Linked DNA regions of Arabidopsis thaliana. The protein of the gene in region 1 interacts with the protein of each later gene in a pairwise test. Each region holds a gene or a part of one and is shown in the gene's direction. Other genes may lie near its edges.

The links.
Region 2: the proteins of MYB34 (region 1) and AT5G57950 interact in a two-hybrid assay, tested with the Arabidopsis thaliana proteins (one large-scale study listed by BioGRID).

Annotation. Positions count from the first base shown.
Region 1 is NC_003076.8:24,492,189-24,497,516, forward strand, and holds MYB34 (myb domain protein 34), read left to right. Parts: upstream 1-2,102; 5' UTR 2,103-2,840; coding exon 2,841-2,973; intron 2,974-3,065; coding exon 3,066-3,195; intron 3,196-3,407; coding exon 3,408-4,032; 3' UTR 4,033-4,183; downstream 4,184-5,328. UniProt on the Arabidopsis thaliana protein: Transcription factor involved in tryptophan gene activation and in indole-3-acetic acid (IAA) and indolic glucosinolates (IG) biosynthesis. Acts as a direct transcriptional activator of both Trp synthesis genes and Trp secondary metabolism genes.
Region 2 is NC_003076.8:23,458,300-23,463,213, forward strand, and holds AT5G57950 (26S proteasome regulatory subunit), read left to right. Parts: upstream 1-2,373; 5' UTR 2,374-2,378; coding exon 2,379-2,606; intron 2,607-2,691; coding exon 2,692-2,752; intron 2,753-3,043; coding exon 3,044-3,148; intron 3,149-3,326; coding exon 3,327-3,681; intron 3,682-3,807; coding exon 3,808-3,829; 3' UTR 3,830-4,089; downstream 4,090-4,914. Other genes in the region: CNGC5 (cyclic nucleotide gated channel 5), read left to right, coding at 373-683, 824-935, 1,074-1,310, 1,472-2,140; AT5G57960 (GTP-binding protein, HflX), read right to left, coding at 4,834-4,914.

The DNA of each region.
Region 1 (5,328 bases):
TTCGTCGTGTCTTATTATTAGCTGTCTATCTACAAAATATTTTGAATGTATTCTTGTTTGTTAAAGAATAAAAATAAAAATATAAGCTCTAATTGATATGCATATATTTAATTAGTTGTGTCTCTTCTGATAACCGATATTGTAGACCACCCCTTATGACACAATAATGCTGATAAAATATTTAAAAAATAAAAATAAAATATTCGAGAATTATTGTCATGCATCCAATGATTCAACAAGATTTTATCATTTAAGCTCTAATTGAGTATTCTTGAAATAGATTACCCACCAAATTAAAGTGAGTGAGAATTACTTCAAGAATACCACAAGTGGTGGATCATTGTGCTGTTATACTTTATATAGCCGAAAAGTACTAGAACAGAACAAGATGATACATTATTGATTAAATGGGACTCTTGTGTAGCAAAGATGAATATCCAAATTCAGATTAATATTTGAAGTCTACATATTTTCAATCTCTAGCAAAGATCCATATGTCACTGACTACTAAACTAATATTATACTTGATTACTCTTCTTTGGTTTATAAAAGTTATTATTGAGTATGCTTTCTAAAAGAGTTGTTATGATATATTTAATAAATGATATTTTGTTTAATTACGCAGTAAAAGAAACTGTAAAACTTTCTATTCTTTTGTCAGAGGAAAAATATTAGTGGGTGCAAATTGTTAGATAGTGGAGTTGAACTCCTCACTTTGAAGGCTTTGCGGGAGAATCTCAAACAACTTTGCCACTTAACTGATTTTTCTAAAAACTTTTTTTGGTTCAAGAAGATATGCTTGTAAGAACTTTACAGTAGAGTTTAACGTGTTATCTCACTAATTAAAATCAATAAAATCACATGGGAATACTTTTTGCCAGTATTTTTTGATCATTTGTTAATAAACTATATACCAAGTTGTGATCTTTTGTGTGTGTTGGTTTTATCAATTTCCTAAGAATTATAAATATGCACTATATCTTGTCAGAGCTTATCTTCGACAACAATTTTAGGTTTCCAACTGCTCGATTTTACATTCTTGTGCTTTGCAATGGGTTGATTTATCTTATTGCATCGGGAATCAGAAAGGATCCAACATGTACCACAACCACATGAGATCTTCACGTCAGTCCCTCGTAGTTTACATACGTGCAATAACTTTTTTACTAAGAACTTAAAATCCAAAATATAATATGTTCGTATAGCGGATGTTGGAAGACATATATATTAATTCATACACAAGGTTTTTAGACCCTTTTAACTTTCTATCCTTTTTTTTTTTTTTATTACAATTCTACACATATAGTTTGATATAAGGACGAAGACTTTTTTTTGATAAAGGATGTAAACTTATAACTAAAGGTGAGCACAAACTTGTGTTTTCATATATGTCGTCCTGTTTTTAATTTCAAACCTCATCCCATATAAAATTAATATCCAACAAAAAATTTGTATCACAAAAAGCAAATTTTTGCTAACAAAAGAAGAGTTTTTGAATTATCAAAGAAAAAAAGATTTTTGTATCAAAATAAATTCGTCTTGGATCACAACGGTCCGGTTCACCAGTCCAAATAACTTCACCATTGTAGAGGATACTTGATCCCAAAAGAAGTGATATATATTTTAATTTGGTAGACCTTTTTTTTTGCTAAGATATTTGACCCCAAAAAAATGTATATCACCCCAAAAGACGTTTCTGTAGACTTATAATTATTATTAGACCGCAATCATTTTTTCTTGGTATATCAAATCCTCCAGACATACATTTATCAGTGATCTTACAATCACATTTTTTTTTGTTAAATGGTTTTTCCTTGTTTAATAGTTAATCAATGATCATACTAGCTTCCCTTAATCATACTAGCTATAAAATTAAAGATGAAAAAAGGTTGTGCCTTTAAAATCAAATCCTCCAGACCTATGCTATAAAATATCCGATACATTTTAAAATATAATGTCATAGTCATGGACTCATAGTTCAACCTTCACTAGTATTAAAAGTCAGTAATATTATTTTGAAAGAATACAAATAGCAATAGTATAATGATAGTAGCATTAATTATTGATTGAATGAATCAATTATTATTTTAGCTGAACAATTTTTGTGAACACCGTATCTCCTAGAATCGATAAAAACTTTTACCCAAAATCTCAATGTTCCTTGATCTCGCAAGAAACAAACTAAAACGGACAAGAGCATCAGAACAGTGTCATCACTCATCAGTATATGCATTTCCGTGTGACCGCGAACTCTGACAGATGCTCAACTGATCCAATGACAACACTGCACGTGGCATTTCCCCACAGTGACTTAGTGGCCTGTGTATAGAAAGATTTAAAGAACGTGTAATCCCAACCATTCCTCCATCAAAGATATATCGATCATTTCTTTTTGACAGCAATAATTTTTAATCATTTTATCTGTCTCTCTGTTCTTTCTCTCTCCCGCAGTCCCTCTCGTAATTTTGCTATATAAGAGCACCTCTATAATCTGTGTGAGACAGAATTATAAAAAAAAAACATTGATAGTTTTGTATCTAAACTCAATATATAATGATAACACGTTCACGTGTTCATCGTCAAAAGAGTGTCTCAGTGAGTACAATCTTCAGGTGTCTTCTAGTTTTGATCAGACGCTCTATTCAATTCTCTTAATTAGTCATATCTTTCTTTCTTTTTTCCTCGTTTCGTGTTAATTTTATTTTAAAACAAAGGATTAAAGAGTCGTTCTTTCTTTTGGTAACATGGAGCCTTAATGATCCTTTGTTAGCTCTAGCTAGGATTTTACGTACTACTTAGGGTATTCAAACTAAAATAAAATCAAGAAGAAGAGCAGAGAGATGGTGAGGACACCATGTTGCAAAGAAGAAGGAATAAAGAAAGGAGCTTGGACTCCTGAGGAAGATCAAAAGCTTATTGCTTATCTTCACCTACATGGTGAAGGTGGATGGCGTACTCTCCCTGAAAAAGCTGGTATATATTTTTTTTTGTCATATATAGGTTTAAATATTAGCTACTTTTTAATTAAAAGAAATTATTGTTATAGTGTGTGTAAATGTATATAGGATTGAAGAGATGTGGAAAGAGTTGTAGATTGAGATGGGCTAATTACTTAAGACCCGACATTAAGAGAGGAGAGTTTAGTCCTGAAGAAGACGACACTATCATCAAGCTTCATGCTCTTAAGGGTAACAAGTAAGTATCTCTTTTTTTCTTTCTTTCTTAATTCAGTTTGGATTAGATAATCATTACTATATGTGTAATGTTGCATGAAAATACTTTACTTTTCATCTCAAATGCCAACCATAACTTTTTAAATCTTTTTTGATAAAGATTCCAAATCTTCATTAGAATAAAATAATATTTGTTAGTATTATTTTATTGATAGTTGTGTTTGATTATTGAAGGTGGGCCGCAATCGCCACTAGCTTGGCGGGACGAACTGACAACGAAATAAAAAACTATTGGAACACAAATCTCAAGAAGCGGTTGAAGCAAAAAGGCATCGATGCAATCACTCACAAACCGATCAATTCAACCGGTCAAACCGGTTTCGAACCAAAAGTAAATAAACCGGTATATTCATCCGGTTCCGCTAGGCTTCTTAACCGCGTCGCAAGCAAATACGCGGTTGAATTAAACCGGGACTTACTGACCGGGATCATCAGTGGAAACTCCACCGTCGCCGAAGATTCACAAAACTCCGGCGACGTTGATTCTCCGACCTCCACATTGCTCAACAAAATGGCGGCAACATCAGTTTTGATCAACACTACGACTACATATTCCGGCTTCTCCGACAACTGTTCTTTCACTGATGAATTCAACGAATTCTTTAACAATGAAGAGATCTCCGATATTTACACGACTGTCGATAATTTTGGGTTTATGGAAGAGTTAAAGAGTATTTTAAGCTACGGCGATGCCAGCGCCGGAGTTATTGAAAATTCGCCGGAGGTCAATGTAGCTGATGCAATGGAGTTCATTGATTCCTGGAACGAAGATGACAATATGGTTGGAGTCTTTGTCTGACGAGTCAGACTAAAATCAATCTTACGTTGGTTTTTTCTTTAATAAGCTGTGATAGATTCGTGTAATCGTCACGTAGTCAAAATAATGTGCTGTTGTAAAAATTAATAATAATAAATATTTCTACTTACATGAATTTGTTTACAAATCCGGAAAAAAACACGTTTTTTACGAAAATACATATGTTTTGTTAATTTCATATGACATGCCACTAACGGAATTGATAAGTCTGTTACACATTTTTAGAGTCTCATAAGTCATAAACTATATAAAAATTTTAAAATGACATATACTGACCACCGTTTTCTATCAAAACAATAAAATTATTTCCCAATTATTGGTATAAAAGAGCTTTTAAAAATCCTGATTTGACAAAAAATATTATTGCGGATAGAGTCCAGGGCTAATTCTTCTTTTTTGCTTACATATAATTAATTCTAGATTTTTAATGATGATATCTAACGAATGATGTAGATTAATCTGCCCGTGGTCAATTTTTGTTTCCGTTACCATTAACAAAATTGTGTATGCAGAAGAGCGTTTAACAGAAAAAAAAACATTAAATTTTGTTCGAGGCACTAAAATTAAACAATTACATATTGTTGTTTGGACTCATACCATTTAAAACTAATGTTTTGCACACCGTGAATTTTATTGGTGATACATTGGAAAGAGAAAAAGCAATAACAAATAAAGAGATAAATAAATGGTATTACTACTTTTGGTACCACATATTTTTTTTGGTGCAAAACTTTAGGTACCACTATAATTTAAAGTTTTTAACATGCAATTTTGAACCTAGCGATTTTGACCAAGCTAACAACATTTGACCTACACAATCTCCAAATTGAGATATCCATGACTTAATTAGGCACACTTTGATCTTTAACTTTTAAAATCACTGGTAGTATATTTAAATTCGAAATGCAAATTTGCTTTAACGTAATAAATCAAATTTAGATCAATAATTAAAGTGTTGAAAAAACTTAAAAACAAAGTATATTCCTCTGCGAAGACTGCAATATTCCCTAACAAGTGAAACTCCCATTCCGTATTATAATATTCCTACTACAATTATTTTCATATTTTGGTGGATTCACGTGAATACGTAATCTTTACAAATATATCACTCATACTAGTATATGCAGAACACACCAATCAAGAATCGTCAGCAGCACTTTTTGATTAGTTTCGAAATTCTTATTTTTCCTAATACTAGCTATTTAATCCGTAGTTCATGATGTATATATAAAACTGATATTCAATTGTGTGTATTAATAATCTTAGTGGAGGTTTAGA
Region 2 (4,914 bases), 1.0 Mb from region 1:
TCATTTTAAGACGTTGCTTGTACTATTCAATGCTTGCCCATTCACCATGAGTTATGTGACTGTGGCACCAAAAGTGCAAAACAAGGAAATATTTGCATATCCGTTTCACTGTTATGAACTTATGTTCAAATGTTTAGTTTCCTAAGACATGTAAAGGAGCTTATTGAGCTTTCTGGTTAAGCCGTCTATGCTTACCTTTGATGTTCTATGCAACCTTTCGTTTTATCTTAGTTGATGTTCATGCCTCATGGGATCACAAATGTCAAGTTTCTTATGACGAGCAACTCTGATTGTATAGCTTATTTACTCTTCAATAATAGTATTGACTTGGTAAGTGCTATTTTGATTGAGCCACTGTTTCGTATCTTGCAGATAGTTGGAGCTTTTTGGTACCTTTTAGCCTTAGAACGTAACGACGCCTGCTGGCAGGAGGCCTGTATAGATGCAGGGAATTGCAGCACAGATTTCTTGTACTGTGGCAATCAAAACATGGACGGCTATGCTGTTTGGAACAGAGCCAAGGAATCTGTTCTTAAGTCCAAGTGCCGAGCTGACCTCGATGATAATAATCCTCCATTTGACTTTGGGATTTATACACAGGCTTTATCGTCTGGAATTGTCTCGTCCCAAAACTTCATCGTAAAATATTGTTATTGTTTGTGGTGGGGCCTTCAGAACTTGAGGTAACCATGTTCTATCACTATTCAGTCGAAAGACTATTGCTTTGATCTTACCAATTCTCACTAAACTCGGCTCCTTTATCAAAGTTATGCGTCTATGAGTTTCAGATATTCATATAGTACTTCTCATTGTTGCACCACAGTACACTTGGACAAGGGCTTGAAACCAGTACATACCCAATGGAGATTATATTTTCCATATCTCTCGCCATTTCTGGGTTGATCCTCTTTGCTCTTCTCATTGGAAACATGCAGGTGAGTAATTATGGTGCAACCTTAGCTACTTTCGTGATCATTAGAAATTTCTTGTAAGCTCTTTCAATGGAAGCATCATGCATAATTTGTTTCCTCTGCATAATGACTATCTAACAACATTTTGCAATCTTGGGACAGACATATCTCCAATCTCTTACCATCCGGCTTGAAGAAATGAGAGTAAAGAGGCGTGATTCAGAACAATGGATGCATCACAGAATGTTACCACAAGATCTTAGGGAGCGTGTGAGGCGCTATGACCAGTATAAATGGTTGGAGACACGTGGTGTAGATGAAGAGTATCTCGTTCAGAATCTTCCCAAGGATCTCCGGAGAGACATCAAGCGGCATCTCTGTCTGGCTTTAGTGCGAAGGGTAAGTTCTCCCCGCTGTTCCTTATTCAAGCTTCTCACATAGATCACACACCCTTTTGAACATCTAGGACCCATTGAATAACAGTCGGCTCATAACTAAAACGAGCTCTTGACCATCGACAAGCTAGCTTGGTTCATGATACGTTTTTACCATAATATTAGGTTCCATTGTTTAAGAGCATGGACGACAAGCTGCTGGATGCGATCTGTATGCGGCTGAAACCATGCTTGTTCACAGAGAGTACCTACTTAGTGCGGGAAGGAGATCCTGTAGACGAGATGCTATTCATAATACGTGGTCGCCTCGAGAGTGTGACAACAGATGGAGGCAGGAGCGGTTTCTTCAACCGCAGTCTCCTGAAAGAAGGAGAATTCTGCGGGGAAGAGCTTCTGACATGGGCATTGGATCCAAAATCAGGTGTAAATCTCCCGTCTTCCACGAGGACCGTGAAAGCTCTGACAGAAGTAGAGGCGTTTGCGCTGACCTCAGAGGAGCTGAAGTTTGTAGCAAGCCAGTTCCGGCGCTTACATAGCAGGCAAGTGCAGCACACATTCAGGTTTTACTCTCACCAATGGAGGACTTGGGCTGCTTGTTTCATCCAGGCTGCCTGGCGTAGATACTGCAAGAGGAAGAAAATGGAAGAGGCAGAAGCCGAGGCCGCGGCTGTGTCCAGCTCAACCGCTGGACCTTCATACTCCATTGGGGCTGCATTTCTTGCCACTAAGTTTGCGGCTAATGCGCTTCGCACCATTCACAGGAACCGGAACACAAAGATTAGGGATTTGGTGAAGCTGCAGAAGCCTCCTGAGCCTGATTTCACTGCTGACTGATGATTGAGCAGCTTGTAGACATTATTGTTTATAATTTATGGGAATCATTACGGTTGAGATAAACAAATATTGCTTGGCTTTAAAGCTGCTTGTGCTGTCTGTAAAATTAATATATGAAGTGTAGAAACAAAGAGATTATAGCCGTTGGATTTAATAAATGTACGGTTAGGATCATATGCCGGTTAAAGAATGGGTCTATTGGGCCTTTTAATGAAGCCCACAATATATTCACGGTGACATGCTCCGGTCCCAAGGTAGAGAGAAGTTGCGATTGATTTCGGTGAAAGAATTAAGAATCGATCGGACTTGGAGAAGAGAAGAGAAGATGGTTGGCGCGAATCTGAAAGCGGAGACGATGGCTCTAATGGACAAGAGAACAGCCATGGAGACGGAGATGAACTCTATTGTCGAACGTCTCTGCAATCCCGGTGGTCCTGGTCTCTCCGGCAATCTCATCGACTCGGAGGTACTGTATCTGCGTCCTCACTCTTCTCTAATCTTAACCGAAAATTCTGCTTAATTTTCTCCTTTGATTCGTTTGCTTATGGCAGGGATTTCCTCGGGAAGATATTGACATTCCCATGGTGAGAACTGAGCGCCGTCGTCTTGCTGGTGATTTCTCTTTTCTTGTGCTGAATTAGTCCATAGTTAGGGTGAGACTACAACTCCAAGGTTAGTTTAAACTTAGGAAACATAGCAGAATCATACTGATTATATGTAGTTTAGGTTTTTGTCTTGGCTAGTTGGCTTGAGGTTTATTCATAGTTTTGTGAGCTGGAAATGAGATTGAAAGGAATCAAGCTTGATGTGTAGCTTCTACAGTGAACCAGTTGTTAAGTTTTTCCCTACTTCTTCCGTTTTGAGTTGGTTTATTTATCTGAAATAGTTTCTACACCCACACAGAGTTAAGGAGTGAGCACGGGGAGATAACGGAAAAGATAAATGTGAACATTCAAATTCTTCATTCAGTGAGGCCTACATCTAGAGCTTCATCCACAAAAGATTCAGGTATGACTGTACAGGAAGAAGCTCCAAATTTCAGCTTGGAATCTTTGATTGGCTTAATCATCTTTTCTGATTCTGGTCCTTTTTCTTAAGGCTATGATTAATAGAAGTTCATTTTATAGTTTGAAACCATATGCACGACGTGGGTGGATACAAAGCTTATGAATAGATAATGATGCAGGTCCAGAAGAAACAAGCTTGTCAGGTGCTGCAGTAAATTCTTTATCTGCCTCCATGCAGACATCTGGCTTCAGTGTTACTTCCGGTCCCATGGATGTGGATGTGGTTACTAGTATTCCCTTTGCAATGGTTGATGAGATAAACGAGTCATCTCCAGCAGCAGAGGGTGGATTACAGCTTGGAGATCAGGTTTTGAAATTTGGCAACGTGGAGGGTGGTGACAACCTGTTGCAAAGGCTTGCCGCTGAAGCTCAGTCTAACCAGGGACAAGCCGTTTCTGTTCAAGTTATGAGGCAAGGTGCAAAAGTCGTCTTATCTGTCACACCAAGGATATGGCAAGGCAGAGGTCTATTGGGGTACATACTGATACTGCTAATATACTTCAATAGTTGATCTTTTTACAAAAGAGAAGGAAACAAACATTTCTCCTTGTCAACTGATGAATTGTTAACTCTTTCCCATATGATATTCTTCCATTGCAGGTGCCATTTCCGTTTGGTATGAGCAGCAGATACTTCCTTGGATTATCATCTGGGGGTCTGGATATGGTGAAAGCTTCTGTGAAAGCTAGTCGGTGATGAAGTCTATTATTGCAAAGTAGAGAACAGTGTTTTTCAACTTTTGTATGGAGAACCCAACTAAACAAATAGCATTTGTTCTGTAGCTGAAATAGACAATTAAGAGGCTTCATTACTCATCCTAACAATGGTTTAGGTGGTGGATTAAACAAAAGGATAATAGAATCCCAAATCATTGAGTTTACACCCACTTCACTGGAACCTAATAAAGTTGATGATCACCCACTAAGAATTGGTGGGGGTGGTAGCAAAGTTGACGTCATACTATCCATTTGGAACATTCTCATATTAATATTTATATATTTAGGCAATCAGGTGAGAAATTTTGTTACTTTGTATACAGAGCAAGTTTTGATTTTACATTTTTTGAGACTTGGGTTAAAGATATGACTCCACCACCAAAATTGAGACTTGCGTTAAAAGATACAAGGATGGTGGTAGATTTTTCTCTCGTAATAGTAGAAACAATCTATGTATTAGCACGCCCTCGTCCATAAGTATAAAACTCAGCTTTGGCGGAGTGTTTTGCTATCTAATACATGTCCGTTTATTTTTCCTCTCTGCTTTGAGAAACTCTTGAGTTTGAGATTAGAGTGTTTTTGGGTCATTGAAGTGTTGTTATTAGTTATAGTACCCAATGTTTCCAAATTGGATGCTCTATGTACAAAAAGGGTTATCACTTATCACTGTTGAAATAACATTTCCAGTGTCAGTTCACGATGTGAAGTAGGTTCAAGCTTATCTTGCTTGTGTCTAGCTGCATTCCTTTTTATCTACGAATATTCTTTACTGTCTGACTGTCATTCTTTGTGGTGTGTATGATCAGAAGGTTGTTTGAATTCCTTTTGCTTTCGGATGCTTTGGCAAAGCACACGTAGCCTCCGATTCTGACCAAGAGGCAGGCCTTCAGGTTCTTGCTATGATTCTGGTTCATCCTCTTTGGCTTATTGAAGTATCTTTGACCAAGTGTCTCATAGGTTTAAGCAGCTGTGCAAAACGTAGCGGAACGTG